4 linked regions of the Drosophila melanogaster genome follow. The protein of the gene in region 4 interacts with the protein of the main gene of each other region in a pairwise test. Each region holds a gene or a part of one and is shown on either strand. Other genes may lie near its edges. The genes, in order: CG9902, Arpc3B, CG31121 and RalGPS.

Region 1 (10,640 bases), on a different chromosome or scaffold from region 4:
CCAACAGATCGAAATCCTCCTTCTTTATCTCCAGCGGTGGCGATGACGCCCTCCGATCATCCTTGGAGTACACCACAAAGTAGTAATCCAGCGAAGAGTCCTTCGGTAACACATTGTATATGTGCAAATCCACGCTCCAAGTCGAATCCTCAAAAAAATTCAGCTCGTCTCGATCATAATCCACCAGCCAATTGCCGGCCAGGTCGCCATACTCAGATCGGACACCTTGCAATCCCAGAATCATCAGCACTCCCACCGCCACAAGCAGCCGTCCGATATTTTTATTCACATTGCCCATGCTGCGTCGTTACACCAACTGACCAACAACTCTGACTACTCCGACGAATCCGAGTGCTGGAGTGGGTCGTGGATCACAAAGAGGCTTTATCTGGCCATCGAGCAGACGGTTCGATTTGCTCTTATCGGACGGGCTCAGGTGCGAACCGGAGGTGTGAATAATAATATGAATAAATCAGGTTGGTTTGTAAATGTAAAGGTCTTGGTGGGAATTTCTAATTCAATTGAGTGCATCTTATCGTCGTTGTGGGCAATGATAAGCATATTAACTTAGCGTATCTATGGGAAAGTCGAACGAACAATGGGTCAACAAAAAACTAAAGCAAAGAAGAAAAGGAGCAGAAATAATAAAAATAAATAAAATCTATAAAAATGCTGAAATATTATCAATTCAAATTTAGTTCATTTTTCAAAAATTTCAATTGTTTTATTTTTTAAAACCTGTGACTGTACAAATCCGCTACCTGCTTGTCTAAGTTATATTGGGAATTCCTTTGTTTGTTGTTATTTCGCATTGCAATATATTGCACTTTGTTTAGATGAGCTCTAAACAATTTGCTACTGATTACGGCCACAAAGAAGGCGAATTGTTAAAATAACATTTCGATCGGGGGCAATAAATTGCTTGGCTGGCTGTGGGAACTTCGAAGTCACCCGGTAATAAAACGCTTTAAGATTGGTTGGGTTTGTTTCTGTTTTTATTATACCCATTATTCGTGGAGTAAAAGGGTAGACTAGATCCGTTGAAAGTTATGTAACAGGCAGAAGGAAGCGTTTCCGACCATATTATATATATATATATATATATTCTTGATCAGGATCAATAGCCGAATCAATCTGGCCGCATGAACGTCTCGATCTTGGGAGCTATAAAAGCAAGAATGTTGAAGATTAAGCATGCATCTTCCAGACCCATGTTGCCACGCCCACATCTGTCACGGCCACAGTTTTGAAAAATGCTTTGTTATTTTTGTATATTTTTATTAGTCTTGTAAATTTTTTAACGATTTGATACGACACACTTTAACGCCCAAAACTGAAGCGGCCACACTTTTGAAAAAACTCACCTATTAATATTACCCAATTACCTAAAATCTATTCATATCACAGAAAAATGATGAAATTTCTTTTTCGCATTTCCACTAGCTGAGTAACAGGTATCTGATAGTCGGGAACTCGACTAAAGCACTCTCTCTTGTCTTGGTTTGCATTTGTATTTATTTGCACTTGTCTATTGAAAGTTAGCCGCACCTGAGAAAGTGCAACATTGATTTATATTGTTCAAAAGGGTGAGGAAAGGTTAATTAAGGAGACCTAATTGGTGTATAAGGAAGCGGATACCTATTTTGTCAAAGGCTCGGGAAAAGTTCAATGATATTATAGAGAGGTGGCCCTTTGGAGAGAGAGCAATCTTCTTGTTAGTCAAGTTGTAGTCTTGTAGCAGTTTTTGTGACTTTAATTTAGGAAAGACTAAGCTAACTTTATAATCTAGAGGAATGTTGGAGAATTTAGGATATCACAGTTTTCATTTTTGGATAGCTTCTTTAATTGCACTTCGATACTTTGCGTTGGGCTTTTTAAACTCTTTTAATATGTTTGTTGTGTTTATGGTCCTTTTAATGATCAAGAAAGTTTCTGCTTCTAACACGGAACTGCATGGATAAGGGGGCAAGTTGAAGGCAAGAAGAGCACGAAGCATAAAGGTAGCAAACAATGCCCCTCCGGATGTCGAGGTGCTCGCCATAAACATAATTTGAATCTTTGGATGCTGGGTGGCTTACCTAGACCGATCGCGATCTAAAGACAGAGGTGGCTCTCCTCTGCGAGCCGTACAAGGCTAAGGCCAGTAACAAGTGGGTTTTAGACCGAACAAGCATAGCAGCCATATGCGGGAAGGTAGAGGTGATCAGAGGTTGAGATCCAGGTCGAAATCGGCACAAGAGCACTCGACAGCCAGGAAGCAGCCTCATACGGCCTACCGACAGGACACCATGAGACTGAAGGAGTTAGACGGCTCTCTTCACTAGCTGACAATCGACGAGGCAGACTGGGCGAACGCAGCAGCGGATAAAATGGCAGCGAAGTTGGAGGAGACCATTACCACTTGGCAGATAAGCGGAGACGTGTCAAGCTGACCACTTGCGGCCGGTCACGTAGCCCAAGATTCTGGCGGCTGCGAGAAGCCTCAAAACCAGAAAGAAATCAGGACCCGATCGGATCCCATAGAAGGCAACCAAGGCAAGCACCCTGCCGAACCCTTCTCGTAAAGACCCATCTGCCTTCGAGAAGGTGATCGCGGCGAGGCTCAACACAGCAATATCGGCTGCATGGGGACTTTCTACAAACCAGTACGGATTCCGGAAAGAATTGTCGACGCTGGACGCGATCTCCACGGTCACTTGGTTTTTAGGTAGCAGGTTACTTGCTGCACGCCGTAGGTAGCTACTTCAGCAATCGGGTGCTTGTCCTCGAATCGACATCGAGATCCAGAAAGTTCGGGTTCATGTCCGGAGTCTCACATGGCTCTACAGTTTGCTTTTCCGGAAAGCACCAAGATCGTGAGGTTCCAAATCTTTGGTGCCCCTAATGCGAAGCAATGCTTTGCGGCAGTACCTTATCCGGTTTCACATCTCTACTAACATCGAGGCTGTATAATAAATTGTTACGTAGTTATGGTATATATGTAAGTAAAGAAATAACAAAAAAAAAAAAAATGGCGTTGCATGTGAAGCTTATCTTTGTGTTTTCTAGTATTTGGCAGATCCTGTTCCGTTTGTTCCTTTTTTTTTGGCTTTCCTGTCGCCTGTCTTGCATCCAGTCCCTCTACTTTGAACAGGCTATTTAGGGGGACCTGTTTGAGATCACTAGTTTCTATGACATCTCCTGGGGACTCCTGGGTCTGTTATCCAGTTCTTATGTGCTTCTTGGACAAGAACTGTAAGTCCAGAGTCTTCTGTGGCACGTTTGTAGTTTTTAGGGCGTCATGGATCATATGCGCTTCAGTCTCATCGGTGGGCTTCAACACTTCTGTTTCAGTGCTTAATTCGGAGTTTGCGGTCGGCGAAGGTGTTTTTTGCTCTTTACCTTCACCGGGGGAACCTACAGTGGTCCCCTTCTCGTTAAATTCGTGTGTAGCCATCGTGGAAGTTTCGGAATTCACGCTTTCAGTTTCTGATCCTGTGCGAACGAGCTGTGAACATGGCTGTCCGGCTGCTTTTGCAGATTTCGCCATTTTGAGGTCCTTCAATAACTTCATTTTGGCTATAATCGAGCTGCACTCTATCATGTCGTTGGGCCCGCTAACCACATTCTCTAGCTCTTCCTTGCTGAAACTCCATATGTCGGCGATCGGCTTAAATCCTTTCGTTTCGTTGGTAAACATGGGTCGTGACTTCATCAGCTCGGCAATTGTACGCTTTTGTTGATTTTGCGGCTGAACTGCGATTTTTGGCTGCTCCGCGACGACGGGCTGTGTAACAAAGTGATTACCCGATGCCTCTGGAAAGATCGATCGTCGCCCACCGCTCACTTTTCGATCCAATTCAGGCAAATTGGCTTTGGCTGCAATGGCTGCGGCTCTAATCCGATTCAGGTGGCCATTTCTGGTGTAGCAGTGCTCCGAATCGCTTGAGGAAGTCTCATCCCCGTCTTTCGAAAACATTACTGCTTTTTGTTTTCGAGACTGGACTGCGATTCTTGGCTGCTCGTTGACGATGGACCGTGTAGAAAAGTGCTTATTCGATGTCTCTGGAGAGGAGATTTCAGACAATTTGGCCTTGGCTGCAATGGCTGCGGCTCTCATCTGAGTCCGGCGGCCATTTCCTGTGTAACAGGGCTCCGAATCACTTGAGGAAACCTCATCCTCTTCTTTCGAAAACAATACTGTTTTTTGTTTTTTAGGCTGGACGGCGATTTTTGGCTGTTCCTTGACGACGGGCTGTGTAGAAAAGCGCCTATTCGATGTCTCTGGAAAGGACATTTCAGACAATTTGATATTGGCTGCAATGGCTGCGGCTCTAATCCCAGTCCGGCGACCATTAGCTTTGGATGCAATGGCTGCGGCTCTAATCTGTGTTCGGCGGCCATTTCCTGTGTAGCTGGGCTCCGAATCACTTGAGGCAGCCTCTTCCTCGTCTTCCGAAACTGTGGGATTTAAAATTCAATTCATTAGTTTGACTGAATCTAATCTTATATGAAAGTTGCTCAAAGAAAAAAGATTTCGTTGCTAACCTTCATACCAACATTTGCGTTTTGCGTGTCGCCGCATTTTCAGCTCCTTGGCTTTCTCTGCTTTATCATGCACTGCTGGTGTTGATTCAGCCTTTCCAGCTGCATTCGAGAGATTAGTCTCATTTTCGTAGCCCTCTTCTATGGTGCCATAGTCCAACTGTGGTCGATCCCTGTACTTGGCATAGTCGATCTGGAGATACTTCAAGTCGTCGCATGATTCGGCCATGTTAAGAGACACAAATTTTCTCTTCAGGTCCTGGCTTTTGAGTAGGGCACTGCAACGCTCGTCTAGCGTTTGCCAATCGAGAGCCCATGAGTATTGTTTATGTCGCGGTTGGAAGACCACGGTCAGAAGATCCTTGGTCATGTTGCTGGGTAGACGCAACGCCTTCAGCGACTCGTTTATTGGATCGTAGTCGGACACTGGATCTTCATGGTTTGTTATGGTCATAATCTGGTGCACATCGATGGTGGAGCTCAGCAGTTCGTACTTGACGTTGCCAATCGCTGGAGCAGGGAGCCCGCCCTCCTCCTGTCGATTTTTCATGATCCACGAACAGCGCTTTACTTCGTTATAATTTGATGATGTGGGGTGGAGGTAGAAAGCAGTCAGCCAGAATTCTGCCTCCATAAATCCATGGTCAGAGAACAATTTGGCTAGGTCAGCATAGTTTGCAGACATCTTTTGCTCCAAATCGAGCATAAAATCAACGGTTAACCCGGGATGATATCTCCACATTTCTAATGCATTTATTTGTTGCCCAATAATTTTCAGCAGCAGAGCAATCTTAGCAAATCTCCAGCCTGAAAAATTCTAAATTAAAAAAGCGCGGTGCTTAGTAAAGTTTTCGCTTTTGTTAGTTCTCATCACTTACCCGCTCTGCCAGCAATTTGTACACAAAGCTCAAAACTTCCTCATTGTTTGGTACATTTTGAAAAACCGGATCTACTTGTCTATCTTGTTCTTCGCCCACCTCAGGCTGAATCTTTTCGTCGTCATCACTGTTCTTGTAGTTGCTTATGTTGCTGGCTCGATTTCCCTTGCATATCTGCTGCTTGTAGTTGAGAATTAGGTTTACTAGATGCGGTTCAATGCAGCTGTTTCGCTGTTGTTCCATCTTCTTGAGCTCGTTTAGAAGAAAGCGCTCGCTGCTCTCGCGCTCCTCTACATAGCGATCCATTAGCTTTTTGAACTGTGGCAGGTGCTCCAGGAAATCGTGCTCGTTAAGCGACTGAAGATCCATCAATAAATTTCCCAGCACATAGCTGGAGTAGGCATCTAGTATGACGGCAAATGAAGTGACCATACATAGATTGAATTTCCTAAATGCAATTTTCTCAAAAAACGCATTCTTTCCGAGTCGAAGACGGACGCAAACGCGGGCAATAAGCCGAGCTGGCGTAAAGTTAATATCATGTGAGCTCGAAAATTCCTCCATGATCTGGACATAGAACCCTATGTTGTACATCTACGAGGTGGTTTTATGACGACATTTAGTTTTGTTATGTTAGTTACATGATGAATGTTTTCCTTACCAAATTATCAATCACAAAGCCTTGATTATCATCCCTAACAAAAGCGGCCAAGAGGCATACATGACCGATTAGTGTAATTGTGTTTTCATCCCCTTTAAAGGACACAAATGGTGCATTTTCGTGGATTTTCAGCCAAGCAGCTAGCATCCGAAGCGCCAGCTGTTTTACAGCCTCAAAGTTGCCGGCGTTAAAGAGCTGGATTAGTCGCAGCAGGGCCAGAGATACCCCTTCCTGCATGAGGAAAGCAACATCTAAGAAATAAGGCAATGATTAGATGAATCCTTGACGAAAATTAGTAATGGCTTACCTTCTCCTGATGCCGCTTGAACTTTGTGTTCGATGCCGTGTTGTTTATTCAGCTCCAGGTTAAGAAATAGCTGATGCAGGTAGGGCAGGCTCCAGGGCTTCGTCTGGAACTGCAGAACGTACGACCAGTTGATATTGGCCAGTTCACCAATCTGATGGAATGCCGGCATTGCTTTGGTGAGGGTGTAGAGCAAAAGCTGCTTGAGGCCTTCGGAGCAGGTCTTCCACTCTTGGCTAAACCACATCAGCAGCGAGTGGTAGACCAAAACCCTGACCATGTGACGCAGCGCTGGGTCCTTTAGCGACTCGGAATCCCTGGTAGGCAGGTGGCACACCTCCCATCCGTAGAGTAACTGCGACAACCGGTCATCGCCCATTAGCTCAAACACATCCAAAGCGCTGTGCTTATTGCAGAATACAAACATTTTCTATAAAACCAAGATTTAAGCAATGAAAACGTGTGCATAAGGATTTATGTACAAAGCAAGTCCTTACCGCCGAAAACTCGTCGTACTCTAGTTTCCTCGCACAATCCAGAAACTTTTGTTCATCGTGCACATCCTGAGAAAATATTATATCCATTTTGCAGCACTTAATTCATGGCAATGCTATGTCAAGTCGATTTCCTTTTTTTTGCCGGTTTCGATTTATTTTAATTTAGCTTGAAAGTTGCAACGAACAACAGCTGAACCCGATTACTGTAAATCGATGTTAATCGAAAGGGGCAACGCTGTCTACACGAGGTTCATATACTCGCTAAACTGTAAGGCTAGGCGTATTTGCTAAATGTGGAAGGTGCATTCGCTAAGGCCATTGTTGCCAACTGAAATTTTATTATGCAGGCAAAAGTAATTTAAAAATTTATTTGAAAGAAACAAGAATACAAAACACTTACTATAGACCAGAAGGGTATACGAGATTCGTTGGTAATTACATATATATGTAACAAGTAGAAGGAAGCGTTTCCGACCACATAAAAGTATATATATTCTTGATCACGATCAATAGCGTTTCCGACCATATAAAAGTATATATATTCTTGATCAGGACCAATAGCCGAGTCAATCTGGACGTGTCCGTCCGCATGAAAGTCGAGATCTCAAGAACTGTTTGTTGACCCATGTTGCCGCGCCCACAAACCGCCCAAAACGGGCATGCCCTCACTTTTAAAAAAAAGTTTTGAATTTTTTCATATTTTTATTAGTCTCTTAAATTTCTATCCATTTGCCAAACAACTCTTTTCGGGTATCTGATAGTCGGGGAATTCGACTATAGCATGCTCTCTTGTTGTCATTTTTGTTTTGTTTTTAATTTGGCAAAAAAAAAACCATAAAAAAGTCGTATGCGATTTAGTTTTAGACTACAGTATACAGTACACATCATACATAATTACGTTTATTGCATTCACTTACATAATTGGCATTCCACATTCATTTTACATATACGGATATATGTATATGGATCACACATATGTATATGTATATACTATTCATCATATGCCGATAGTTGCGACCCCAACAATCATCAAATTGCAACTAACTAGAAAAGGCAGGTAAGGAAATTAAATCAAATTTAACACTTCGACTGATGGTACTTTCGATTATGGGGCAACGTAAATGCGTAATCTTGTGACTTCGATTATCTGTATCTTTATGGGTAGGTAACTTCATCTTTATCTAGTTGGAGACAATCCAGAAATGCTTACTTTAAGGTCGAGTGTCGGGAGGCGAGACGGGATCGAATCAATCAGTGTATTTAGTTAACGACCGAACTCGCGCTTTCTCCTTCTGTGCTATGCAACTTCCTCGTTATATTTCCTCTGTCTCTGTCTCTGTCTTAACACACACACGATTTTAGTAGCTGCTACTAGCAGACTTGGCCTAGTTAATACTTAATGTGAAATACTCGCTGGAAATGAAACATTTTGCGTTTACAAAAATATCGCCGCACTCGAGGTGCTTTGAATTTATATATGTATATATATATAGTTATATATGCGTATTCATTAAAGAAAAGGGCTTTTGGGTTTGAATTTTAGACGTAATTATAAACAATTAAACACACTAATGCAGGGTTACACAATTTAGGCGACTATCGAATTAAAGTTTTCGCGCTCAAAGAAATATTACATTATATTGTACGGGGATAACGACCAGTGACGACATGTCTGCGATTATAGATAATCTAAGGGCAAGTGGACCAATCCTGCTCAACAGACACGCCCACTCGCACAGGCACACACAAAAAAAAAAACATATATAGACGGATATATCACGTAAATCTGAAAGGTTTAAACCTATAGAAAATAGAGAAAAGAAATCTATCACTTTTTTATCCTATTTCTTGCGGTCCGCACACACACACACACTGATTTCGCATCCATCCGCCTCTAGTGACTGATCTTTTGCAGCTTTTGCAATACTTTGAGACCCTGTTCCTGATACTCCTGCTTGGACATCCAGAAGCCGTCGCGATCCTTTGTCACCTCCGCCAGAACAGCTCCGCCGATAAAGACCATATCCTTGCGTCGCGGTGGATCCTCAATGCGTATTTTGAATTTCTGCAATGTAATCGTTCAATTTGTTAAACACGATGTGCATTGATTAGCTTTACTTGACAACTTACCGCCAGCTTTTCCGTATCGTTCTTGAGTACCCGCTCCAGGTACAGCTGTTTGATCTCACGCTCCAGCCGACTGGGAAGACCCGGATACATGGTGGAGCCGCCGGACAGAACTATGTGCTTGTAGAGTTCGGGCCGTATGTCGATGTCTGCCGCCTGGATGGTGTTGAAGGCCAGTTCCGCAATGCCCGGTCCCTCGACGTTGATCAAATGCGGCTGGAACAGAGCCTCTGGCGCCTCAAATCTCTCGCCACCGACCTTGATAACACGACCGTCGGGTAGCGTGTACGATTCCACCAGCACCGTCGTCTCCAGGGCCAAACGCTGCTCCATCTCGATGTCGTAGCCAATGTAGCAGAGCTTCTCCTTCATTATGCGAACCGTTTCGAAGTCGGCGGAATGATTGAAAGCGTAGCCACGTAGTAACAGTAACTAATGATCATAGATAGATGCGAAAGTATAAGTCACAGTTTGGCTATATGTAATTGTAAGGCAAAGCAACCTTAATCAAATAGCGAGTGATATCCCGACCGGCAATGTCCAATCGTCGCGTCAGATGGGGCAGGGCAAACTCCTCGTAGACGGGACATATATGCGTTACACCATCGCCCGAATCGATCACCACGCCAGAGATCAGACCCTGGGCATATAGCGTCAGCACGGCCTGGATGGCAATGTACGCCGAATCGAAGCCATATTTCTCGAACATCACCTGTGAACACAAACACAACAATGTTAGTTTGAAGTGGGATTTTAAAATATGGTATGACCTCACCTCAATCATCTTCTCGCGATTCTTTGTGGGATTCATGGGCGGCTCGGTTAGCAGGATTTTTGTGTTCGTCGGATCGATGTCCATCTTTTTGGGACCGAACGTGTAGTCCCACACGTGGCACATGTCGTCCCAGTTGCGCACCACACCGTTCTCCATCGGATAGGAGACCTCCAGCAGGGATCGCAGCTGTGAGGCCTCATCGCCGACCATCAGATCCTGTAAATTCGTTCGTCAGAGGACGCAGCGTTAGTGTCCGTGGCTTGGTCAATGGATAGCCATTGGGATTCGGATTGGTTTGGACTGTTTGGTTGGTTGGATGGTTGATTGGTTGGGTATTTGCTTAGAGGCTGGGATGGTTAGTCATTAGTGTGGGAGACATACACAGGTGTTAGGCACAATAACAGCGAGCACACTACAAGAATGCAACTAAACTCGTCTAAACAATCAACGATTAACAAGAGGCAGCAGTGAGTGTGAGTAGTTGCGGAAAAGGACTTGCCTTTCCGGAACACTGGCAAACACAGGGACGTGCAAAACAAACGGGGGATTAAAATAGGGCTAAGCAGACACAGGACATCATGCAGACGAGAACACATAACAATTTCAAATCAGCAAATCACAATTAAAACGAGAAGCAACTGAATTTGGTTGCCTTAAGATATGTACAAAAAAAACCAAAGGGTGTAAGCTAGGAAACAAATGGTATGAAAACATAGGAGTAAAACTTAAATAACAAAAATTATATTTACGTAAATTTGTCGTTAAATTGAACAGATTCGATTGGAATTCGGTTTTAAACACGCCTCAGATTTATCCGATATGAGAATTAATAGATTTGTTTTTTTTTTTAATTTTTTTTTTTCGATTGTGGATT
Region 2 (6,613 bases), on a different chromosome or scaffold from region 4:
TTAGCATGTTGTCAATGGTAAAACTGTGTCATATGTGTCTGCATTTTTAATGGCACGAATTTCAATTTCGAACTCTGTTATTATTTACAATACTTTTTATCATGAAGAACTTCTTTAAGAAAATATTTTTTTTTTCTAATTGTCACTTTCTAGGGTTAAATCTTATAGGAGAAGAGTTGAAGCTATTTAAATATTAATTTGTATATTACTATAAAGTAGATATTTTCAAAAATTTCAAGCGGCATCAAAATAATGTATTTTGTACTTATGTATGTTGGGTTACCTGGGGTTAAAGCTTAGACAAATATAAAGACAATGCCAAAGAGAGACCTAACTGTACTTCATCGCTACTTCTCTGGCCGTCTTTTTCCCGCGAGAACGCAAGTACCGTTTAAGCTTTTCTGGACTTTCTTCTAGAGCCGACGAGAGATTTTTTCAAATTTTCTATTTAATCCACAGCAGCAGCAGAGTGATCAAAAGGCGATCGAAGCAGCCGGCGAAATGGGAAGAACACTGGAAATAACCGGAAGACAGAATGATAAGAGTCTGGAGAAGAATCCGGAGCGCTTCACGAAGAATGTGACGGAGAAAGGCGCCGATCCTGAGAACGGAGACCCGGTGCGCAGGCGCGGCCATGAGACCAGCGAACTGGAGGCGGCTACGCATCTCTTCAAGGGCAGCGTCGGTGCCGGACTCTTCGCCATGGGCGATTGCTTCAAGAACGGCGGATTGGCAGGAGCAACCATCCTGCTGCCCATCATTGCGGTGATGTGCGTCCACTGCGAGCGCATGCTGATCCGTGGTTCCGTGCTGGCCGTGGAGCGCACGCCCGGCGTGGACTTTCTCGACTATCCGGAAACAGTGGAGAAGTGCTTCGAGCACGGGCCACGCCCACTGCGAAAAATGTCGCGCGTAATGAAGCTGATCGTTGAAATGTTCCTCTGCGTCACGCAGTTTGGCTTCTGCGCCATCTACTTTGTCTTCATCACGGAAAATCTGCACCAGGTCCTCCAGCAGAACGGCATCGTTATCAGCATGAGCATGGTGATGCTGATCACCCTGCTACCGGCGATGATACCCTCGCTGATGACCAACCTGAAGTACATCTCGCCCGTGTCGCTGTTTGCCAATGTGGCGCTGCTCTTCGGCTTGATTGCCACCCTGACCATAGCCTTCTCGGATGGACCCATGCCGTCCGTTGGCGACAGGCACCTCTTCACTGGCGGAGCTCAGTTGGCCCTGTTCTTTGGTACCGCTCTGTTCTCTTACGAGGGCATCGCCCTCATCCTGCCGCTGCGGAACTCGATGCGCCGACCGGAGAAGTTTAGCACCCGGTTCGGAGTGCTCAACTCCACGATGTTCTTTACCACGGCCCTGTTCATCTTCACCGGATTCGTGAGCTATGTGCGATGGGGCGAGGAGGTAGCCGGCAGCATAACGCTAAATCTTGTAGTGGAGGAAGTGTAAGTAGAATCACCAGGTTAAGATAATATGAAATTACTTGTAATGATTTTTTACATTTTATTTTCGAATCGCCTGTTTTGTTATTAATATTATTGATTTCATTGCAGTTTTTCGCAGGTGGTGAAAGTGATCGCTGCTTTGGGCGTTTTCCTGGGCTACCCCATCCAGTTCTTTGTGATGATTAAGATTTTGTGGCCCCCACTAAAGAGGTCTAATAACTGCACTCAAAAGTATCCCATTACCTCGCAGGTGTGCCTCCGTTTCTTTATGGTGATGATGACATGTAAGTGGGTTGTAAATTAAAAAAATATATATATATACAATTGGAAATGGAATCACTATATTGATCAATATCAATGATAATGTAGTAATATCCGTTTTAAATGATCATAGCTATAGCTTTTACGCTATTCGGAATATATTTCTATATGTGCTTTTCCAGTTGGCGTTGCGCTGGTCGTTCCCAAGCTCAATCTGTTCATCTCGCTGATCGGAGCACTGTGCTCCACCTGTCTGGCTTTTGTGATTCCGGTGCTGATCGACTTCGTGACGCGGGCGCAGGTGCCCAAGGCACTGGGTGTGTGGTCCTACATCAAAAACATTCTCATCCTGACGGTGGCCGTGCTGGGCATCGTCACTGGCACCTACCAGAGCATCGTGGAGATCGTCAAGGAGTTTAAGTAGGCTTAGAGAGCTAGCAAGTATATTTTGTACATAAATAATGCTGTCATTCCGCGGAACTATGTGAATGCGTTGTCCTGTTCTGATGTAAGATTAATTTGTGTATTTTTCCACTCTTTTTTTTATTATTATTTTGTTGATAGTTTTAAGCTGTGCATATTTTTTTTTTGTTTGTATGTATAAAAAAAATGTTTATTTGGCACAAAAACGAAAGGAGGCATAAAGGAAAAACATGATCTGCAGCTATAACCCATTTTAATAATTGATTACCATAGCAATAGGGCTTTGATTGTGTGAGAGCCTGCAAATGATCGTTAAAGCCATATGTATGTAATAAATGCTATTCATCGATTTTATAAATATATATGTATAAAGTATTAACTAGCCTTCAGCCAACAATGTTTAACACTAAGTTCTTTTACAAAGTGAAAAATATGCGCTTTTGAGAGCGTATAAATCAATAAACATAAATCAACAACGAATTTAATACATTCAAAGCAGTTTATTCGTAAATTTTGGTGGTAAATACTCTAAGATCGGCAGTATATTAGTGAGTCTTTTACATTCCCGGTCCCGAAAGACTCTTCTCCATGAACTTCTTCTTGGCAAAGCATATCCACCACTTGCTCGGCTTTCCATCCGGAGTATCAAAGACCTTTTCCAGCAATCTGTTTCCGGTTTCCTGGCGCAACTGCAGGAAGTACTGACGCATCAGCTCCGGATCCTCGGGCTTGGTGTATATTCCGTTCAGCGGAAATCCCGCATCTCCGGGTATATCGAACCGCGAGATGGCCAGCGTATAGAGCTCCTGCTGACCCTGCGATTTGCTTGTGCATCGGGCCAATCGCTTCAAACATTCCGTGATGTAGAGCGTTATGTAGATGAGCACCCTGTCCACCTCCGACTGCGATTAGATATACAATGTATGGGTAATAGGGGTTTTTTAAAAAGTAATTTTAAAAGTTTAAACATAGCAACAATATTCTAAGAATGATATCATAATTGATAAGACTATTATTGCTATAAGCTATATAGTAATATAAGCTATATAAGCTATAAGCTATTATTGAACTTTTAAAAAAAAATTCCAAGCTCCAAAAAAATAATTTCATTATGTAGAAATACCCAACTCTTGGAACACCATATAAGAAAGGGGTATTACTAAAAATTTAACAAATAACTTCACTCTTATCAGGCTGATTGTAACGACATATTTCTACAAATAAGGGCGGTGAGATAACGCACTTGGTTTTAACATTATAAAATTGACTCCACTAGGGCTTTAAGATTGTTTCGAAATATTTAACAAGCTGTGCCGTCTTCTTAATGTATCTTCATTTTAAAAATTAGAATATCGCCTCGCTTTATCTCTATGCTCATTTCTTTGTCCAGTCACCAACCTTAACTTCGTAAGTGCGGAAGAAAATGTTCGATTTCCAGAAGTAGAGTGACTCATCGATGATGTCGTTGGGAATATCAACAGTGGGCGCTGGTCCTCGGACTTGGGTACGTAGTGGTAGAAGGGCCATATTCCCCACCGAGGCTTGGAAATCCTCTATTTCCGAGTGAAATGCCTGTGCGAACCATGTAAACAAATGGACAGGTTAAGGGTTTAATGCGTTTAATGTACATTTATGTTAAGAAACTGCCCATCTGCAGCTGCATACCTCGGTTGTATTTTACTCACCGGCATTTCAATGACTTCTGTCTTGTTTTTCAAAAGTTAAAAATAAACGAAAAATATAGTAATATATGATATATCAGAACTTCCTAGTGATGTGAAAACGTTATCTTTTTGAAGTTGAATAAACGACCCATTGGCGTTAAAATGAACTGGTTCGTTCCGAGTTTATTTGGTATTTTTTGAAAATATACATTTCTAAAGATATTATTTTAATCATTTAAGCTGACATTTTCCCACATAAATGTGCAAGTACGTCTCAGTTTTCGTCGTTTTATTTTAGTTCTGTTGCATATGAAATTGATATCAATGCAGAAATGGAGTTAACAGGACTTGGCTCTTTCGGTTAGAACTTGTTGCGCTTGCTAATTAAAAATGGGAAAGATATAGATAAAAAATAGGAAAGAAATGAACATAACAACTGTAATAAGGTCCCCAATCGAATATATATAATATATATATTAATATACAATATATATAATATAATATAATATAGCTTTTTTATTAAAAAATAATTAATTGAACGTTTCCAACTTTTCGCGCGACAATGAAAAGCTTCAACTTTGGCGGTAAGTTACAAAGGCGAAAGCAGTGTGCCCAGACACATTTGGGTTAACACTCAAACTATTTCACATGTTCCAGTTCACTTTGAAAATACAAATTACGTCTATTAAAAACATTATTCGATGGTCGACACAGTTGATTGTTTATAGATAAGAAGTTTGTAAATTGTGTATAAATATAAAATACTAGGTAAAATATAATCGATCGATAACATAATATCGATAGAACTAATTGTATAGTCTGAAGAACAAACGATGGTGTGATCGAGATCGAAGAGCTTAAATCAATTGTTTTAAAGAGAAACATCGTGAATAAAAATACTTAAAAAGATTGTTACAGACCAAGACAACAATAATAAAGCAGTAATACATTGGAATATAGTGCTATTCTTAAAAAATCAAAACCCGATATAATTGACATATTAAAATCAAAAAAAGTTTATTTTGGTGAAGACGCGACTATAGTTCAACTGCGCAACGCCGTAACTTCTTAAATAAATTAGAGTTTGCCATTAACATTACTATTCATAGTAGTATTAAAGAATCACATAGTATTCAATTATTTGGTGTTAGCCAAAAAGGCCATATAGTTGACGAATTGCCAGAATATATTGAGCACACGTTTAATTTAGAGCAAACAGACCTAGATACTGTTAGTTTAAATGCTAATGTTAATATCCATCACTCACAACATAATATTGAGCAATATAATGCGAAGAAAAATAAAGCCCTTTTGGAATATAAATTTCGAGATTTTGAAGCTCTACGAAATATTGATACAACACCTGGAGTTAATAAAAAATTCGAACCTAAATATCGCGGCCCATGTACAAATAAATATACAAGGAAAGTAGAGTGTTTGAAAGTGACCGTTAAAAATTAAATTGATGTAGATGATTATCAACTAACGCAGTTACCTTTTAAGAGTTTATTGGAACCAGCGAGATTGAAATATTGGAAAAACGGTGTAAACCTTACCATAGCATTGTAGATAGATAGTAAGATCGAGGTCGTTCATAAGCCAGGTAGGGCGAATGTAAGCTGTATGTAAATACAAAATACTAGGAACACTAATATCGATAGAACTATTAGTATGGTTTGATTGAGATCGAGATTGAGATCAAATAAAGTATATTAAATTCCTATAGCGGCACAGCAGTAGTATTTTCGCTGAACAAATTAGTATATGGTACATGGTATTATTTTATGCCTTGCGATATTTATAACTCTTACCGCGCTGGTCACACTGTCCTCTTGAGTAGTTGCTGTTGTTGCGTTGCTGAATTCCGTTCAAAAGCGATGAGAGTTTGTAAATAGTCCCTTCGTCGGCGTTTCGTGCGTTTATTTACCTTTTTCGCCGTGTTTTGTTTTGTTTTTTTTTGCGTTCACTGGCTCGTTCGCTGCCTTCCATTCAGCACTGAGAGAAAATCGAGCACCCGACGATGCGGTGGAATTTAATTGCTAATCGCATTTTATCCTTGGCTGCTTGCGGTTTCCTTTTCGCCTTTGTTGTTGTTGTTGCTGTTGTGTGCAGCAAATAAACTCGTTTCGCGCACTAGTGTGCCCTCGTGCGTGCGTGTGTGTGTTTGTTTGTTTGCTTGCGCGGCTTTTTGTTTCTTGTGATCATTATTTTTGTTATTATTGAATGCAAATTCGACGAGAACTGTGACACTTCCAAGCAGTCCAACAACAACAACAACAAACAGCAACAGTTGACAACGGAAGTTGTAAGGTAAGTTATGCTCTTCATATATAGTAAATGTAACAATATTAAAGTCGTCCCAAAAGTAACTGTTCATTTCCAAATAGAGAAGAAAACGCCCTTGACAGTCGAAGTAAAATGCAGTGCACTGAGAAAAATAACTTACTAAGAAAATGTACAGTAAAGCGAATTGGTATACAAAATGTATATATTTTTATATGATTTCTTCTGATTGGAAATATTTGCTTCAGAATCAACTTGGAAAATATGTCTTGATAACATTAGAGTTCCCACCTCGGGGCAAAAAGCTAATAGGATCCCTAGGTGTACAAGTAAATAACTTTCCAGAATCCACGAGAGAGAACCTATTAACTAAGTAAAAAAAAGCGTAATCCCCAATATCATAATTTTCTTTTATTATTAAAATTATCTCAATAGATAATAGAAAGTTCCTTGCACTTGTAACCCTAAATTATTTCACCCTTATTTAAAGATTAAGATAAACAATATTAAGGCAATCTT
Region 3 (7,779 bases), on a different chromosome or scaffold from region 4:
AAAGTTTCGGCTGCGTAAATTGATTATGAGTGGGTAAACGTCGAAACGACGAAATTCGGGCAGAGATGGGCACCAGGCCCAGCAGGTGAATGGGTGCACAGCGAGAAAAAATGGTCATGAAAAATAATGTTTAGTATGACATCTTTTGATACGTCCGTTTCTGGTTACTAACATTTTTCCAAGCCGCTGAGCTGTTGATTGATTTAATATACCTCACAAGCTGCTGTCAACAAATGGTGCGAGAACAAGAAGAAAAAATGATTAATTAAACACTGACTAATGGCAAACCAAAGCCGCTGGACCTGACCCGTTTTGTGAGCAAACTAATGAATCTGGCCTACAAATCGCTATCAAATTGGGCAATATCCGCGGCAGGGGCATAACCAGAAATGAGTTAACCGACGAGCTGGCAGAAATGCGAGCACAAGAATTCCGCTGACTGTGACCCCAAAAAGTCTAATGCTAATGTCATGCCGTCAACGAATATTCGTCATGGCTGCATAGCCCCCACCACCGAAACCACCGGCAATACCACAGTGGTGGTCTCAATTCAGCGTATTTCAGCGGTTCGGATCGGCTTTCAGTTTCCAGCGCTTCAGCGTTGAGCGTTCAGTTTTCAGTTTTGCGGTTAGAAAACTCAGGCAAGGTCAGTTTTATTAATTGCCCAAACGGAATACGAAACTTTGCCACAGTTTCGGGCATCTTTACAGGCAATTAACGCCGAGCTGAAAACCAAAACAAATCTCTCCCCCCCCAACACGACTTAAAACCGAGTCGAAACAAAACACTTTCCTGTATTGCGAAAGACTTGTGAAAGTGGCCAACAATTGTGGGTAAAAATTTGCATGCCAATGCCGATCCCGCCGCTTCCCATTTACTCCTCCGCCTCCACGGAAACACGTGTGGTGCCACCAGGCTAATTGACATAAATTCCATGGCAAACCGAACGAAAACAGAAAAATGGCAATTTTTCCCTGCGTTGCCATTGCATGCATAAAAATGCGACAGACGGGCTTATTTGGCCAAATTCCCGAACACACCCACAGACCCAAAGACACACAGCAACTGGGTCTTATGGGCGCCAATTCCACACTCAACGAAAATGTCTTAGCTTGGTCGAAGAGTGTACTATTTTGTGGTAAGAGATTTCTTAATAATCACACTTTATTATTATTGAACATTTCTCATCTTCGAGTTGCGCAGAAATCAACATCAAATTGGTAGAATTCCATTTAATTTCGCTGTTTGAAATACAAACAAAATCTACACGACTAGCCTTCTTGGGGGGAATGAGCAATGTTAGGTGTCAGTTATTTTTCCCAGTGCAAAATGTGGGGGCCAAGTAAATATGTGACATGGTTTTTAAGAGCAATTTATTCGGCTCACGTCCAATCAAATAAGGTCTCATCTGCGACTCCGACTCCGCCACTATTCTGATTCTATGTCAGCGGCATGTCTGAACCGTGCCTGTGAACTTGGAGCGAAATGAATTGGAGTTCTCTTTTTACGGCCGTAAAAGTCACGAAGTGTGTGTAGCCTGAAATGTACTTTCTTCGCCTAATTATGCAGCTGTTCTGCTTCTGCGGCTTCTTCTTCGTTTACGTCTTCAGCTATGCTGTGTTAATTTAATTACAATAAAAAGTAAATTAACTCACTGTGGCCCCGTACCGTATCTATCAATGCCCACAATTTTCATGGTCGCAACTTTTAATGGCCCCGCAGCTGGAGAGATTGCCTATGCAAGTGGGAAATTTCGAATTTGCATTTCCTGCTCGTTGAGTTTTCACTTTGCCAGCGACCAAGGGTCTCCGTCTCATCATCATCATCATCATCATCGTCATTCCAATGGCCCGCCGCTGACTTCATCCAGAGTCCGCTATCATTAAATGCAATGATTCATCCATCCATCCATCGGAATAACCAGCGACTAAGTTCAATTGAAATTGAACACATACACATATGGAGGACTCAGGCCGAGAGAACAAGAACAAGTTTTGGCCAACTAGATGCAGCCACACCTATAAAGAACCGATCAGAAAACCAGCCTAGACCCAAGACAAAGACCAGATCCCATATACCCAATGCTAGATACCACCAGCACCCCACTCCGGATCCGAACTCACCACAAAGCCATAACTGACAATCAATTCAACTTAAGCTGGCTCTTTGCCGCGCCTTGGTCTTTTTGTCTAGACTCCGCGTTGCTGTCTTAAGTCTTTTGATTTGTTTTCCTTTTTTTTTCTCAGTTTCTGTATTTGTTTTCTTCTGGACTGGAATTGAAATTGTCGAAATTGAATTACGATCGCTGCCTGTCGGTCCGCTTCTAAACGCTTTTTTTTCTCTCTGCCCCGGAATGGCTTGATATCTTTTTTGCGGGGGGCCTGAACAGCAGCCACAAATCAGGGAGCCCCGTTAGCGGTCATAATAATACTGTTAACTAATTTACGCCACAAAAAACGGCGGCAAAAAGCGACGACAATGGGAAAATCTAGAAAAACAATCCAGCAAGTCAGCTCGAAGAAGCAAAATACATTTTGGAACTTTTTCAATGAGCTTGGCCATGGCTTTAACAGCATTCTAACGGTCCGGCCAACATGACATGGCTAATTAGGTGCGAGATTCAGTGAAATGGACCCGAAACGGAGGCTGGGAATTTGCATTGCGAAGGGCCAAAGGCATTAGCTTGACAATAATCTGCAGTTGGGGGGGCCCTGAGAATGGTGCTAAAGCCCCAAATTATCTCAATCGCCAAAATCTCCATTAGCCCGCAGCTCATTTTCGATGAGAAATCAAGTTCCGCGGCACGAAATTTTGAAAGTGATTGTGAGCGCAGATTGGCAGCTGCATCGAAATTGCAAAATGAATGTGAAAGTTGCTTAGCCGCGTGGTTATTCTTTATGAGCCGATATAGGAAGAGTACACGCCGGAATAAAGTATTTGCCTCTACCCAGCGAAAAATGTCTTTCAGACCTGTTATGGCTTTCACATCTTGTTCGAAATTAAATCCATCGCTCTCCGGGTCATCGAAATACGTGACAAACTTTATTCTTCTTTAAACATATATTGCAATCATTTATTACAGAAATGAGTAGATTAAATTGAATGGTTATATAAAGTCAAAGTCTTTTGCGTTATTGCAAAAAAAAAGAACCCATAAGCTATGCAAACTATTCTAAGGCGCATAAAAAGTTATTTATGTGCTTAAAGTATAAACATAAAAACAAATAATGGCTATAGTGCTCGATCGTAAGTTTAAGGCAGTTTTTACGAGGAAATGACCAGACCAAGACGATGCTAGCATCTGCGGGTAGAGCAAACAACCAGCGATCCCCGGAGAGCTAAGAACCCAGCTCCGCAAAGAGGCAATGGCAAAGGCAAAGACAGCCGGCCAAACAAACAAACAAACTGAAACTTGTATCTGTGAGATACACACTGGCACACAGCGAGAAATACTACATAATGATATGTGATATAAAAATGTTGGAAATATAATTTGAACTATTAAAAAACAAAATATCAAATATTTTGAATGAAACAGTTTACTAAATAATTAAATAAATTTGTTTTATTCAATTTGCAACAAGGATATATCTTTTTACACTATACTAATGCTATAGCCATTAGCTGAAACATGAAATGAAGCCATTTGATGAAACAAAACATAAATATTTAAAATATGATATATTGCTTGTATATTAGATTTATTATCTCGCTTTTTTTCCTGTGCAGCGGAGCAGTGAGCTGCAGAGAAAATAAAAGACAAGACAAACCGAGCCGAGTGGAGTTGAGTTGAGCAGCAGGCACTTGGCTGTTTGAGCGACTCCGGCTTTGGCTGGCACTTGGGTTCTGGTTTTGGCATCGAGTTGGACTTCCACTTTGGATCGCTTGGGCTCTGCAGGGCGCTGAGCGCAGGGAGAGCGGCAAAGAAGTGCCAGCAGTGGCAGTGGTGGATGGAGTGTGGGCTAAGATACATTTGCTAGACAAAACCCGCTCGCGGGATCTTTGACCTGCGATGGTGACGACCGCGCGAGCAGAACAGAACAGAACAGAAGAACAGAAGAGGGGGGGAGTACAAAAAAACAGAAGAACCAGAAGGTATTAGTATTATACCCAAAGGAATGGAACGTGGACCGTGGTGGATACTCGTCGGTTTCATTTGGTTCGAGGTGGCAAGTGCTGCCGTTGGCCTAATACAATTAACAGTAAATACCAGTTGGCCAGTTGGACTCTAATTAGCCGCTCGGTGACACTCATTCATAACTTGGGCAAAACACTTACATTACAATGTCGATCTGCTGGCTACACCGATGTCTGCATATTTTATATAGACCATATAGACACTGCTCACACACACACTCACGTCACTTGGATATTGGCCACTTTTTCCTTTTTTTATTTTTTTTTTTTTTTTGTATCTATTGGATATTCCGCGAGTCAACAAATAACCACATTTGCATGCACTTCCCGGTGGTCATTAAAAAATATTCGCCTTTGCACAGATATATGTGTGTATATTATAGCCCGTTAAGCCGTGAATATTTCAATTAGATTTCCAAATGCGTTTTATGTGTTTTCATATTTTTTTTTTGTAATTTTCTTCTGGGAACTGTGTGTTAGGGGGCCGCCAGAAAAAAATCGAATCGACGCGAACCGCGGATCGGTGGAGGCAACTCTCTCGGAGCTCGGCTCGCAGCGAACTGATCTGAACTTGGCCTCGGCCGCCATCTTAGCCCGCTTGCTTCGCCTGGAAGCGAGTTGGCCGGAGAGAGCCGCTTTCCAGGCGGAGCGGAGCGGTTCAAGCCATGCCAATTGGAATGGCAAGCAACAGTTTCAGTTCAGTTGGAACAGAGCGCTCAGTTGGTGAGGACGTGTTCGCGGAGGTAAGTGACTACCGAAGAATATTTTAATAAAGCATCTAAAATATCATATAAAATATGTATTAAAGTTTTTTGAAAAAATATGTGTTGGATTTTTCCTAATTGTTTATTGTGTAAAATTTTAGTTTTCAGTTTTAGCCAAATACCAATTTATAATCAAGTATCTCTACATCTCAATCTCACTTTTACACTCTTGATATTCTCTCTTCCCTCCCTGGAACTGAAAATCAGCTCCTAACAAACCACTCTTGAGTTACGAACAGAGTGTTTTCGGCCCAAAGAGCACGAGAAGTATAAACAAACAAAAGCGGCTCTCCCAGCGGTGGCTATGAAAATGATCGGCAGCGACTACGTACTGGAAGCCCACAACATTTTCCACACCACCGAGGTACGTTCTCTTTAGACTCGTGAAAACCCCCTGCTATTAAACCTTTATTGTTTTCTTTTTGGCCTGAACAACAGGTGGATGGTGGTGGCTGTTTCAATGGAGCCGGCAATTCGGCCCTGGTGCTCAAAGGCGTCAATCTAACCGTGCACAGCGGCGAGGTTATGGCCATTCTGGGCTCGAAGGGTATATTTTTAATTTACATTTTGTTAAAACAAAATAATAATAATCATTTTACCAACTTTAGGTAGCGGCAAGAGAGCTCTTTTAGATGTTATTTCTAGACGTGCCGATGGAGCAACTCGTGGTCAGGTGCTACTCAATGGATCTCCGCTCTCCAAGGCATTGTTCCAACAGAGATGTGGCTATGTCACCCAATCCTGCACCTTTGTTCCTGGTCTAACGGTGGCCCAAACACTACACTATACCCCCACTATAGTGAGTATTTGTATAAAATAATGAATATGAAGAGATTTTAAGTAATAACTGACTGTGTTAATACCCAAACCCTTCTTAGTTGAGTGGCTATCTGAAGAGTTCCAAAGTGCGCCAAGTGCTGGCGGATTTGGCCCTTTCCCAAGTGGCGCATAAGAGAGTGGAGTATCTTAATATCAGTGAGGCACGGCGTCTGGCTATTGGAATACAGTTGGTCAGAGATCCTGGTAAAATGATGAATATATCACAAAGATTCCTTAAATAACAAAAATGTTATTTTAGTCATGCTATTGCTGGATGAGCCGACCCATGGCCTCGATCCCTTGAGTGCCTATCTGCTGATATCCATTTTGTCCAACACGGCCAAGAAGACGGGCTGTGGAATTCTTCTGTCGCTGGAGAAACCTCGCTCCGATGTGTTCCCATTCCTGGATAGAGCCCTATTCCTCTGCCTGGGCGGAGTGGTCTATTCAGGAGGCACTCGTGCCATGCTGGAGTACTTTCATGGCATCGGATTCCCTTGTCCACAGCTCGAGAATCCCTTGATGTACTATCTCTGCCTGTCCACTGTGGATCGTCGCAGTCGGGATCGATTCCTGGAGTCTAGCCAGCAGATCGAGGCGCTGGTGGAACGTTTCTCTCGGGAAACACCGATCTCGGATGCCCCTCTAAACAACATGGGTTCTGGGAAAGTGCCTCTGGCCTATGGAAAGCCTGGAGAGCTCAAAGTTTGGGTTATGCTGTATCTGTAAGTTAAACTTACTTCTTTTTTTTCAAATATGATAAAATTCTTGACTTCGTTTTTAGGAAACTATTAGCATCAACCTTCTCCTGTGGACTCGTTGGTATGAAGACACTATTTCTGCGCCTTTTGCTTCTTCCATTGGCTTTAAGCATCCTATGGGCATTTTACACAGATGTCGGGGTAAGAAACTTAATTTTTTATACATTTTAAGCATTTTTTAATATAATTTTCTAGGACGATTCACATGGATTCTTTACAAAAAACGGCATGATCCTTAATATTTTGGGGCTGTCGTACGGTTGTGGAATTTTGACTACCATATCTTTATGTAAGTTTCGATTTTCCCTTCAATGTTAAGCTGTCTAAGCATATTTTACCATAGTTCCGATTTGGCGCAAGAAGTTCTCGCAGGATACTCCAGAGGGTCTCTATTCGGGCACAACTCTACTGATTGCCTACAACTCCGTGTCTATACCATTTTCCGCCGTATCTGCCGTCATAGCCAGTTGTGTTGTATATCCGTAAGTTTCATCTCTCTGGGTATCGGGACTCGAAACTATATATCTATTTCTTTCAGTCTGCTATTGGATGTGAAGTACAACAATGGTACTGTCTTCGCCTACTTGCTAGTGGCCCTGTGGTCCAGTTTTGTGCTGGCGGAACAGCTCACGATCGCGTTCCTTTTGGTGGTCAAGGTTCCCTTCAACGCAGCCATTGCAGTGACCTATGTCCTTGTCATAAGTATTGCACTGGCTAGTGGAACTGTGCGGTGAGTAAGGCTGTGTTCATACTATAGTTTGAGTTACTTGAGGTGTCTGTACCAATAGCTCCTTCAAGGGACTTCAACCTTGGCTGCAGGACAACACGAAGGGCACTCACACACGCTACGCATCCTCATTGCTGCACAGCATCGCCTTCCAGTCGAGGAAACTCAACTGTACTCCCACCGCCTCCGTGATCTGTCCCAAACCCGCGGATTTCATGCACGAGCGACTGGGATTGCCGGATCCCGATGTAAGTGGGATGATAATATGGTAGCTTATCGGATTATTATATTATTTATTTTACAGGAAACCATCGATGTGGCCGCTTCCTGCGCTTTTGCTGTGGGCTTGGCCGCCTTTAACATGCTGGTTTACCTATTCCCAATGCCTAGATGTGTTCGCCAGAAGTTCAAGGACTAAGGATTCAGATATCATGTTTCCAAGTTTTCACTAGATTTAACTTTAATTTAATAAAATAAAAACTTCTCATTGTATCTATTTAAAAGTATAAACATTTGTTTTTGCATCGAAGTTTACTTTAGGGTACCAAAAAATATCAAACAATTTTGTTTA
Region 4 (7,632 bases):
TCTGAGTAGCGCAGATTATCCGTGGACAGGTCGCGTGAGATTTCCGAGTATCGCATCATGGCAGCCAACTCCGGCTGTCGTTGCACTTCGACAAGCTCTTCAAAACTGTAATGGACAAGACTCAAGTTAACTTCGTGATTAAGTTTTGGCTCTCGGTGTTCCGCACACTGGGCAGACTTTTTGTTGACTGAAACCGAGTTTGTTTTCCTCAGTTCTGCATTGTGGCTTTTGTGTTGCACGAACATTCGTAACAGAAAACAACAAAAGAAATTAAAAACAAAAAAGTATAGGAAAAAACTGGTGGCAAGCCGAAACGAAGCTTCTGGCACGCTTCGCTGCTCGATTTCCAATGGAGCGGGCCATGTGAGTCACGAGCGGTGCGAGGAAACCATTCCATGCTCTTTTATGGTAGCTCTCAAGTGGTCAAATGGCTTTTCGGGGGTGCAAGCCGCTGATAAAAAGTCACGGGCTGCAGCGGTCAGCGGAAAGTTTGGTTGGAAAACAAGTCACCCGTTTAGAAACCAAATTGGTTTTCAGCCCAGTTCAATGAACCCGTCGACCAAGGCATAGAAAATTAAAATTTAAATAAGCCATTCGTTTCCGGCATTTTTCTCATTTCCACAAAAACACAAAACAAAATGCAGTCGCTTAAGTGCGAAATATACAATCAAGAAATGACACAATATGTACATATGTACATATACGTTTACGTAATTAAAGGAGAAACATATTTATTTGAAATAATGAAATGAAAACAAAAGTAACCACTTACATTACGGATCATTATCGGCATGTACAACCTTCTAGAAACCACTATTCATTTATTTCCCATCATTGCACCAACCACAATACACATATGTATTTAAAATTCCTCTAAGACTGACTGTTTTGACCCCGTCTGATTAATTTCAATTAAGATATAATCATTTGAAAGCAAAAGCTGATCAAAAGCAATGACGTCCACACTTTGTCATTGGTATATCTGGGCTTCTGCCTGCGGTTTCCTTCGATTATTTTGCGCTTTTCCGTTTGAGCAAATTGAATTATCCGACTCTGAAATAACAGCGCAAATATCTCGAGACTAGTGTGGGCGAAATCCAAAAGATACATTCCCAAGACGGATGCAAATAAAATCGGTTGGGGAACGATATTGTTTTTATGCTGTTCTTATCTATTATGAATTCCATTCTAAATCGTTTCAAACTCATTGTGCTCAGTTGGGATTTAATCTACATACATATATATCTCTATTGCAGCAAAAGAATTAAAAAAATACAGTCCTATATATTTTAGATTTGTAGTATACAGATGAATTGAAAACAAATTGGGCGGAAAGGCAACAAAAACAGAAACAAGATGTAGACAAGACACCAGGCGTATGCGAATTATATTTCAAAATGCCAGACGACTGCCTCAAGATTTTGAACAAATGGACTTTATTGACTATTTGAACTATTCCATATACACATCACTTCTCTCCTTATTGAATTCATATATATGGCCATACATACATATACATATGTATCTGTATCTGCGCCAATCTGTGCCATTTTTCTTCTGGACTTCCCTTCGGCTGGTCGGCGTTTTAATGGAGATATCATCCAATGCAATTAAAGCCCAACGATTTACTTGCCTCATCTGAGGGCTCGTAAAGTTCCACCCACTGGATACAATTTAATCCATAGCATTTGTAAATAATTCCTGCCAGACAGCGCGCTCCTTTAATGCGAATTTGTAAACTTTTGATGGGCGAATGAATACTGATTGTTTTTTTTTTCGTGGTCAGGGATATGGCGAAATATGTACATATGTATGCCTGCTTGGAGGCAAAAACATCGCCCACTATATCGATACTCCCACAGAAAATTCAGTGTGTTTATTGCTTTTACACAAATTTCTTAAAAGAAAACAAATAACGCAGCTGTAGAATTCAAGGAAATCACATTTGCCTATGGGCGATTTCGATTCTTGGTTTTTTGTTTATCAGACTAGCAATTGTATTTAAATAAAATACAATAGCATATACTGACGAGCACATTTCTACATAATCTTGAGGAAACTCGGTGAGATTTCTCGTTTCTTTTTTTTCTCTTGTGTTGGCATTTTCCATTGATAAATTCTTCAACTTGTGGGTAGCACTGGAATTCGCTATGATGACAAGTGATGACTGACCATCAAGGGAATTTGCAGTTCAACCCATTCGCTGACTCGCACTGACCTCCAGCTCTAGAAGAGGGGGGTTAAAGATCTCTGGAGCAGCTTTCTTTGCCGTTCAAAAGCGGGGTGGCGAAATGCATATTTACAGAAGCGACCGTTTCGCAAGGTCAACGGCAAGCGAGTGGCTGTCGCCCGGTGATATTCGCGATTGAAATATTCAACTGACAGGTTCAATAACCGCCTCGAAAGATTGCGATTAAAACTGAATACTTAGCCTCTATTACGATCAGCCTTCGACTTGGGTTTTCTACACGAGTGGGAAAACATTTAGCTAATCTCCCATTGAAAAGCGAGGGGCGTTATCAGACAGTCGTCTAACTATTTGCTTACACATGCATGCCAGAATAAATACATGTAATTACGCTGGTTAACAACAAAGAGAGAAACTACAAATGGAAAGGTGCCAAAGCAGCAGCAAGGCAAGAAAGCCTGCTTTCGAGGATCGAAGGCGGAGTACCCTAAACACATCTTTATTTATGAGATAAAATTGGCACAATTCTATATATTATGTTATACTGATCCCATTCAGAGCCAATTTGTAAGAGAACTTTTAGCCCACTTTTGATCTTTGCAACTTTTGTCCTATACCATCCTTAAACACAACATACTCCCACATAAACAAGACGTAAATTGTTATTTATGGCAGGCCAGTGATATAGTCATCCGTTTCCGGTTCTTCCGAATTTGTATACAAAATGAAAAACGGAATTTGGGTTCTGTGCATATTTTTTCTAAACAGATGGCATTTCGATTTGAAGATCTGTTTTCGCGGAAAAACAGGTAGATACATGATTTTTGGCCAGGTAGATATGTAAGTAGTTTCAAATGCAAGATACGACTTCTAAGATTTCACCGTTGCAGCATAACGTTGCCAACTTATGCGTGCAATTATAATACCCACTTGTAGGGTAGTAGCTTGAACAAAAACAATGCCAAGGAAGGCCAAGCAATCGAGCTGGGGTTTCTTCTTTCATCTCCTATTCTCGTGTTTTGTATTTGTTTCATGAGCTGCTTATACATGTACATACATACATATGTACATGCGATCTATGGCACATGTGAGCCACCAAAGTGGGTCACTTGGTGAGCATCCAGCCAGTCGCGGAGCAGCGAGCCTAGAACTGAGCCACTTACCCAATTTCTGCGTCGAGTGGCTGTACTTAAGTCCAAGGAATAAGCATGAACAAAAGGCAATTGGAAACGGGCGAGAAACCTTGAAATGCAGCATTTCAGCATCTTGGCAACGCATTCAAAAACATCTGTCGCACATATCCTGTTGGACGAGTCCGGGCAAAACAGATGCACCGAAAGAAAATTGCATGCAGTTTGAATATTTAGTAAATACTTCGTACTTGATATGAATTTGGACTGGGGAATGTAATGTTAATAATTCGACGGTTTTTTTTACAGTAGTATACTACAGAATATACACTACATTTCCAAGAAGAGCAAAGTTGCAATTAGTACTTGCATGTAATACGAGTACATTTGGATTTTTGAACGGCAGACCACAAAGTTAATGATGAATATCACATTTTGCAGTGTTTCCATGCTTTATTTATTTGGGATACGAATGGAGCACATCGTTTTTTGCGGTGCTTATCAACAGCAGCTGGCTCTTAAAAATCCAGAGGCGTTGCCTGCGACTGCGAGTATCTTCTTATCAAGCCGCTTATCACCTGATCTAACGCCGAAAGGAAGTGGCAAGTGGGTTTCGCTGGCCGCCGCCACCCGATGATTCACATTTCGAGACATTTACGAGTATGTTCGAATATAATCAATGTTTGTTTCGCGGAGGAAATAAATCGATAGAATTGAACGCGAAAAGCGGAAAACGGGAAGCCGAACATAAACACGGATACACAGGCAGCCACTCTCACGCAATTTGCTGTCGTTTGGGGTTCTAAGCTCATTGTATGCAAAGTGTGGCGCCCACTCACCAACCAACCACCCACCACCCACTTGGGCGTAGTTTCGTAATCAGTCCCCGACAAACTACAAAAAAAAATGGCACAACGCATTGCACTTGCCACTTGGATCTTGGAGCATTTGGGGCGACAAATGGACGAAGATAGCGACGCCCAAATCCGAAATAGCAATGCATATTGTTATTTATAGGCTTTCGCCGCCCCACCTATGTAACCCGCACTTTCAACTCACTTCGAGCTCCAGCTGCTGGTGCATTTTATATCAAATAATCGATGTACATGCGATGACAGCCACTGCGTCGCGCTTTTTTAATTACTATTCACCACGCTTATTGGCTTCACCTTTCGTTCGTTTGTTTTAAAACTCGAGAACAACGAAAATTCAGCAGCGAATTAGCCGAAAACGATCCGCGCGCGACGCCGACGCCAACGTACAGTGTGACCGTGTGGCTTTTGGCTTGAAATACCACTCACGAAAATGTACTAATATAAGTCGAACGGTAAAATATGCTTCTTAAATATATTTTTTAAAGTCATTATAATTTAATCAGATTCCATTCCATATTTTTATGTATCTCAGTGTATGACTTAGATATTCATTATTAAAACTGTTTTTCAAATAATTTCTTTAAATATTAATTTTAAAATTTGTTTTGTATGTTCTTGTTATAGCAAGTTATAATTGAAATTTATTAGTACATTTTGGTTGGGAACCTGGATAACAATGTAGCATTGACTCGAGCCGTATGGCCAAAAAACTCAGTCTTGATAATTTTTTTAAATTCTTTTTTGAAACTTGTTAGCATTGATAAAAGTTTAATGCGAAATTTGATTATAATGTCCCTTTAAAGCTTCGATCTTAAATTCCAAAAATGTACATATGTATGTAGCCCATGATCCAAAATACCGACCCTTTGCCAAACAATGAAAGTCCTTAACTTTTATAAAAAATATATATGTATTTAATTTCTTTACTTACATCGGAAGTAGCTTTATCATTTCATTCCTTTTTTTGGGTTATTTTTCGCACTTGCATTTAGATCAACAGGGACTTACGACTACGAGGAATTGAGCAGGCTGAATGGATGGGCGAAAGACAGCAAGAAGTGGGATAGAATGGGCACGAATAGATGCGGAAGGATGAGGGGCATAGGTAGGGGACATAGTTCTAGAAGGACTTAACACTAGGTATTGCTATATGTTCGGGGAATCTAGCTAAATGTGTCTGTGAGTCGTTCCTAGTACCGATAACCGCTGCCATCGTTGTCACCGTTCTGACCACCGGGTCCGAATCCATTCCGGCCACCCTGACCCGGCCTGCCGCTCGAGTATCCTTGGCCATCCTGACTATCCTGGCCGTTGCCGCCTGGCCGACCACCAGGACGACCGCTGGAGTAGCCATCACGTCCAAGATCCTGACCACCGGGACGTCCGCCGGAGTAGCCCTGATCACCGCCATCCTGGCCGCCTATCACACGTCCACCGATGATCACACGACCGCCATCGGATCCACCGTTGCCATTGCCGCCTGGCCTACCATTGGAGTAGCCGCTGGCACCGAGGTCCTGTCCACCTGGACGTCCACCGGAGTAGCCGTCTCGACCCAAGTCCTGACCTCCAGGGCGACCACCGGAGTAACCGCCTGGTCCCAAGTCTTGGCCGCCCGGCTTGCCATTGGAGTAGCCACCGGCGCCTAGATCCTGACCTCCTGGACGACCACCGGAATATCCACTAGGTCCCAAATCCTGGCCTCCTGGACGTCCACCGGAGTAACCGCCATTTCCGTTGCCATTTCCATTGCCGGGACGTCCACTGGAGTAGCCATCGGCACCAAGATTCTGACCGCCAGGACCTCCAGGACCGCTGGGACCACTGCCATCGTTGGCATCGCCTTCGTAGCGGATCTGTGGCCGGTAGCCCTGCTGGTCGGCTTCATACTCCACAATCTAAGAAAGACAAAGAGAAAAGAGAACGAGATAACAATGTTAGCCGTGACAGAAGGATGAGGTGGTGGAGCAGTGGGTGGATCCACATCGCCTTCTGCTGCCCGCCATCGCTGCCGCCGCCGCTTACTTGCTTCCTTCCGTCGGGCAACAGGACATTGTACTGGCCGGTGGTGAAGTCACCGTCGCGCATCTCTGAATGCCCGAACGAGAGTCCGCTGGGCGCGTCCTCAACCTGGTAATTAAATTCGTACTTGGCGGGCTCCTAAACGCCGTACAACGGATCATGGAGCATGGAGCATGGATCATGGACAGCGGATCATGGAGAATGGAGAACGGATTGGGGCGTGTGGAGAAAGAGAGAAACACAGAGAGATAGAGTGTCTGGGATCAAGAATTCAGTTTTCTATGGGGATGCAAGCTTTAAACGCCGATGGCTGTGCAGGTGAGCGATAACGAGTCTACCAAAGATTTGCAAGGGCAAGTGTGCAGCGGTGTGGGCGGTGGAGCGGTGTTCCCTTGTGGTCAATTCCACCCAGTGATCCCCGTATACAAATCCCATTTTACCATATACCCTATTTGCTAAGCTATCTCAAACACTTACATCGTTATCGTAGTCAGCGCCGCCGGGTCCACTGCCTCCAGCGCCACCTGCTCCCGATCCAGAAGCTGGGGGTCCGTAGGAGTCGGAGGGTCGGCCACCAGGTCCTGAGCCTGGAGCTCCATAGCTGCTCGAAGGACGTCCGCCGTTGCCATTGCCGCTACCAGGGGCGCCATATGAATCTGATGGTTTTTGGTTCTGACCAGGAGCACCATAGGAGTCCGATGGACGACCACCAAATCCACCTTGGCCCTGACCAGGAGCTCCATAGCTGCTTGAAGGACGACCACCGCTGCCGTTTCCGTTACCGCCACCAGGAGCGCCATAGGTGTCAGATGGACGACCACCGTTTCCACCACCAGGAGCGCCGTAGCTGCTTGAGGGACGACCGCCATTATTGCCGCCACCAGGAGCGCCGTAAGTATCCGAAGGACGACCACCGTTTCCACCACCGGGAGCACCGTAGGTATCCGAAGGACGACCGCCGTTTCCACCGCCAGGAGCACCATAGCTGCTCGATGAGCGACCGCCATTTCCGTTGCCTTGTCCTTGACCAGGAGCTCCATAGCTGCTTGAAGGTCGTCCGCCGTTGCCATTTCCACCACCACCAGGAGCACCATAAGTGTCCGATGGGCGTCCACCATTTCCGCCACCAGGAGCACCGTAGGTATCCGAAGGACGACCACCGTTTCCACCGCCAGGAGCGCCATAGCTGCTCGATGGACGACCTCCGTTGCCATTTCCACCACCAGGAGCTCCATAGGTATCTGAGGGCTTGCCTGCATATCCACCTTGTCCTTGTCCCTGTCCTTGACCCTGGCCTGGAGCGCCATAGCTGTCTGAGGGCCGTCCACCGTTTCCACCACCAGGAGCTCCATAGGAATCCGACGGCCTGCCGCCGGGACCACTCTGACCCGGTGCTCCATAGCTATCGGACGGAGGT

The links.
Region 1: the proteins of RalGPS (region 4) and CG9902 interact in a two-hybrid assay, tested with the Drosophila melanogaster proteins (one large-scale study listed by BioGRID).
Region 2: the proteins of RalGPS (region 4) and Arpc3B interact in a two-hybrid assay, tested with the Drosophila melanogaster proteins (one large-scale study listed by BioGRID).
Region 3: the proteins of RalGPS (region 4) and CG31121 interact in a two-hybrid assay, tested with the Drosophila melanogaster proteins (one large-scale study listed by BioGRID).

What each region holds. Positions count from the first base shown.
Region 1 is NC_004354.4:16,540,484-16,551,123, forward strand, and holds CG9902 (uncharacterized protein), read right to left. Parts: upstream 7,038-10,640; 5' UTR 6,952-7,037; coding exon 6,865-6,951; intron 6,798-6,864; coding exon 6,371-6,797; intron 6,315-6,370; coding exon 6,064-6,314; intron 5,997-6,063; coding exon 5,403-5,996; intron 5,342-5,402; coding exon 4,528-5,341; intron 4,441-4,527; coding exon 3,200-4,440; 3' UTR 1,641-3,199; downstream 1-1,640. Other genes in the region: CG9903 (uncharacterized protein), read right to left, coding at 1-298; Arp2 (Actin-related protein 2), read right to left, coding at 8,759-8,929, 8,995-9,423, 9,494-9,703, 9,767-9,982.
Region 2 is NC_004354.4:17,101,938-17,108,550, forward strand, and holds Arpc3B (Actin-related protein 2/3 complex, subunit 3B), read right to left. Parts: upstream 3,916-6,613; 5' UTR 3,839-3,915; coding exon 3,833-3,838; exon of another isoform or gene 3,720-3,832; coding exon 3,546-3,719; intron 3,050-3,545; coding exon 2,705-3,049; 3' UTR 2,634-2,704; downstream 1-2,633. Other genes in the region: CG4991 (uncharacterized protein), read left to right, coding at 316-384, 460-1,463, 1,572-1,747, 1,907-2,148.
Region 3 is NT_033777.3:24,889,907-24,897,685, forward strand, and holds the start of CG31121 (uncharacterized protein), read right to left. Parts: upstream 4,700-7,779; 5' UTR 4,279-4,699; intron 1,930-4,278; exon of another isoform or gene 1,669-1,929; intron 1-1,668. Other genes in the region: CG11069 (uncharacterized protein), read left to right, coding at 5,206-5,265, 5,340-5,448, 5,510-5,700, 5,780-5,924, 5,980-6,445, 6,505-6,622, 6,677-6,770, 6,825-6,963 and 3 more.
Region 4 is NT_033778.4:16,780,628-16,788,259, reverse strand, and holds the start of RalGPS (Ral GEF with PH domain and SH3 binding motif), read right to left. Parts: upstream 4,590-7,632; 5' UTR 4,378-4,589; intron 3,491-4,377; 5' UTR 3,352-3,490; intron 1,086-3,351; exon of another isoform or gene 773-1,085; intron 106-772; 5' UTR 60-105; coding exon 1-59. Other genes in the region: resilin, read right to left, coding at 5,384-6,091, 6,219-6,353, 6,693-7,632.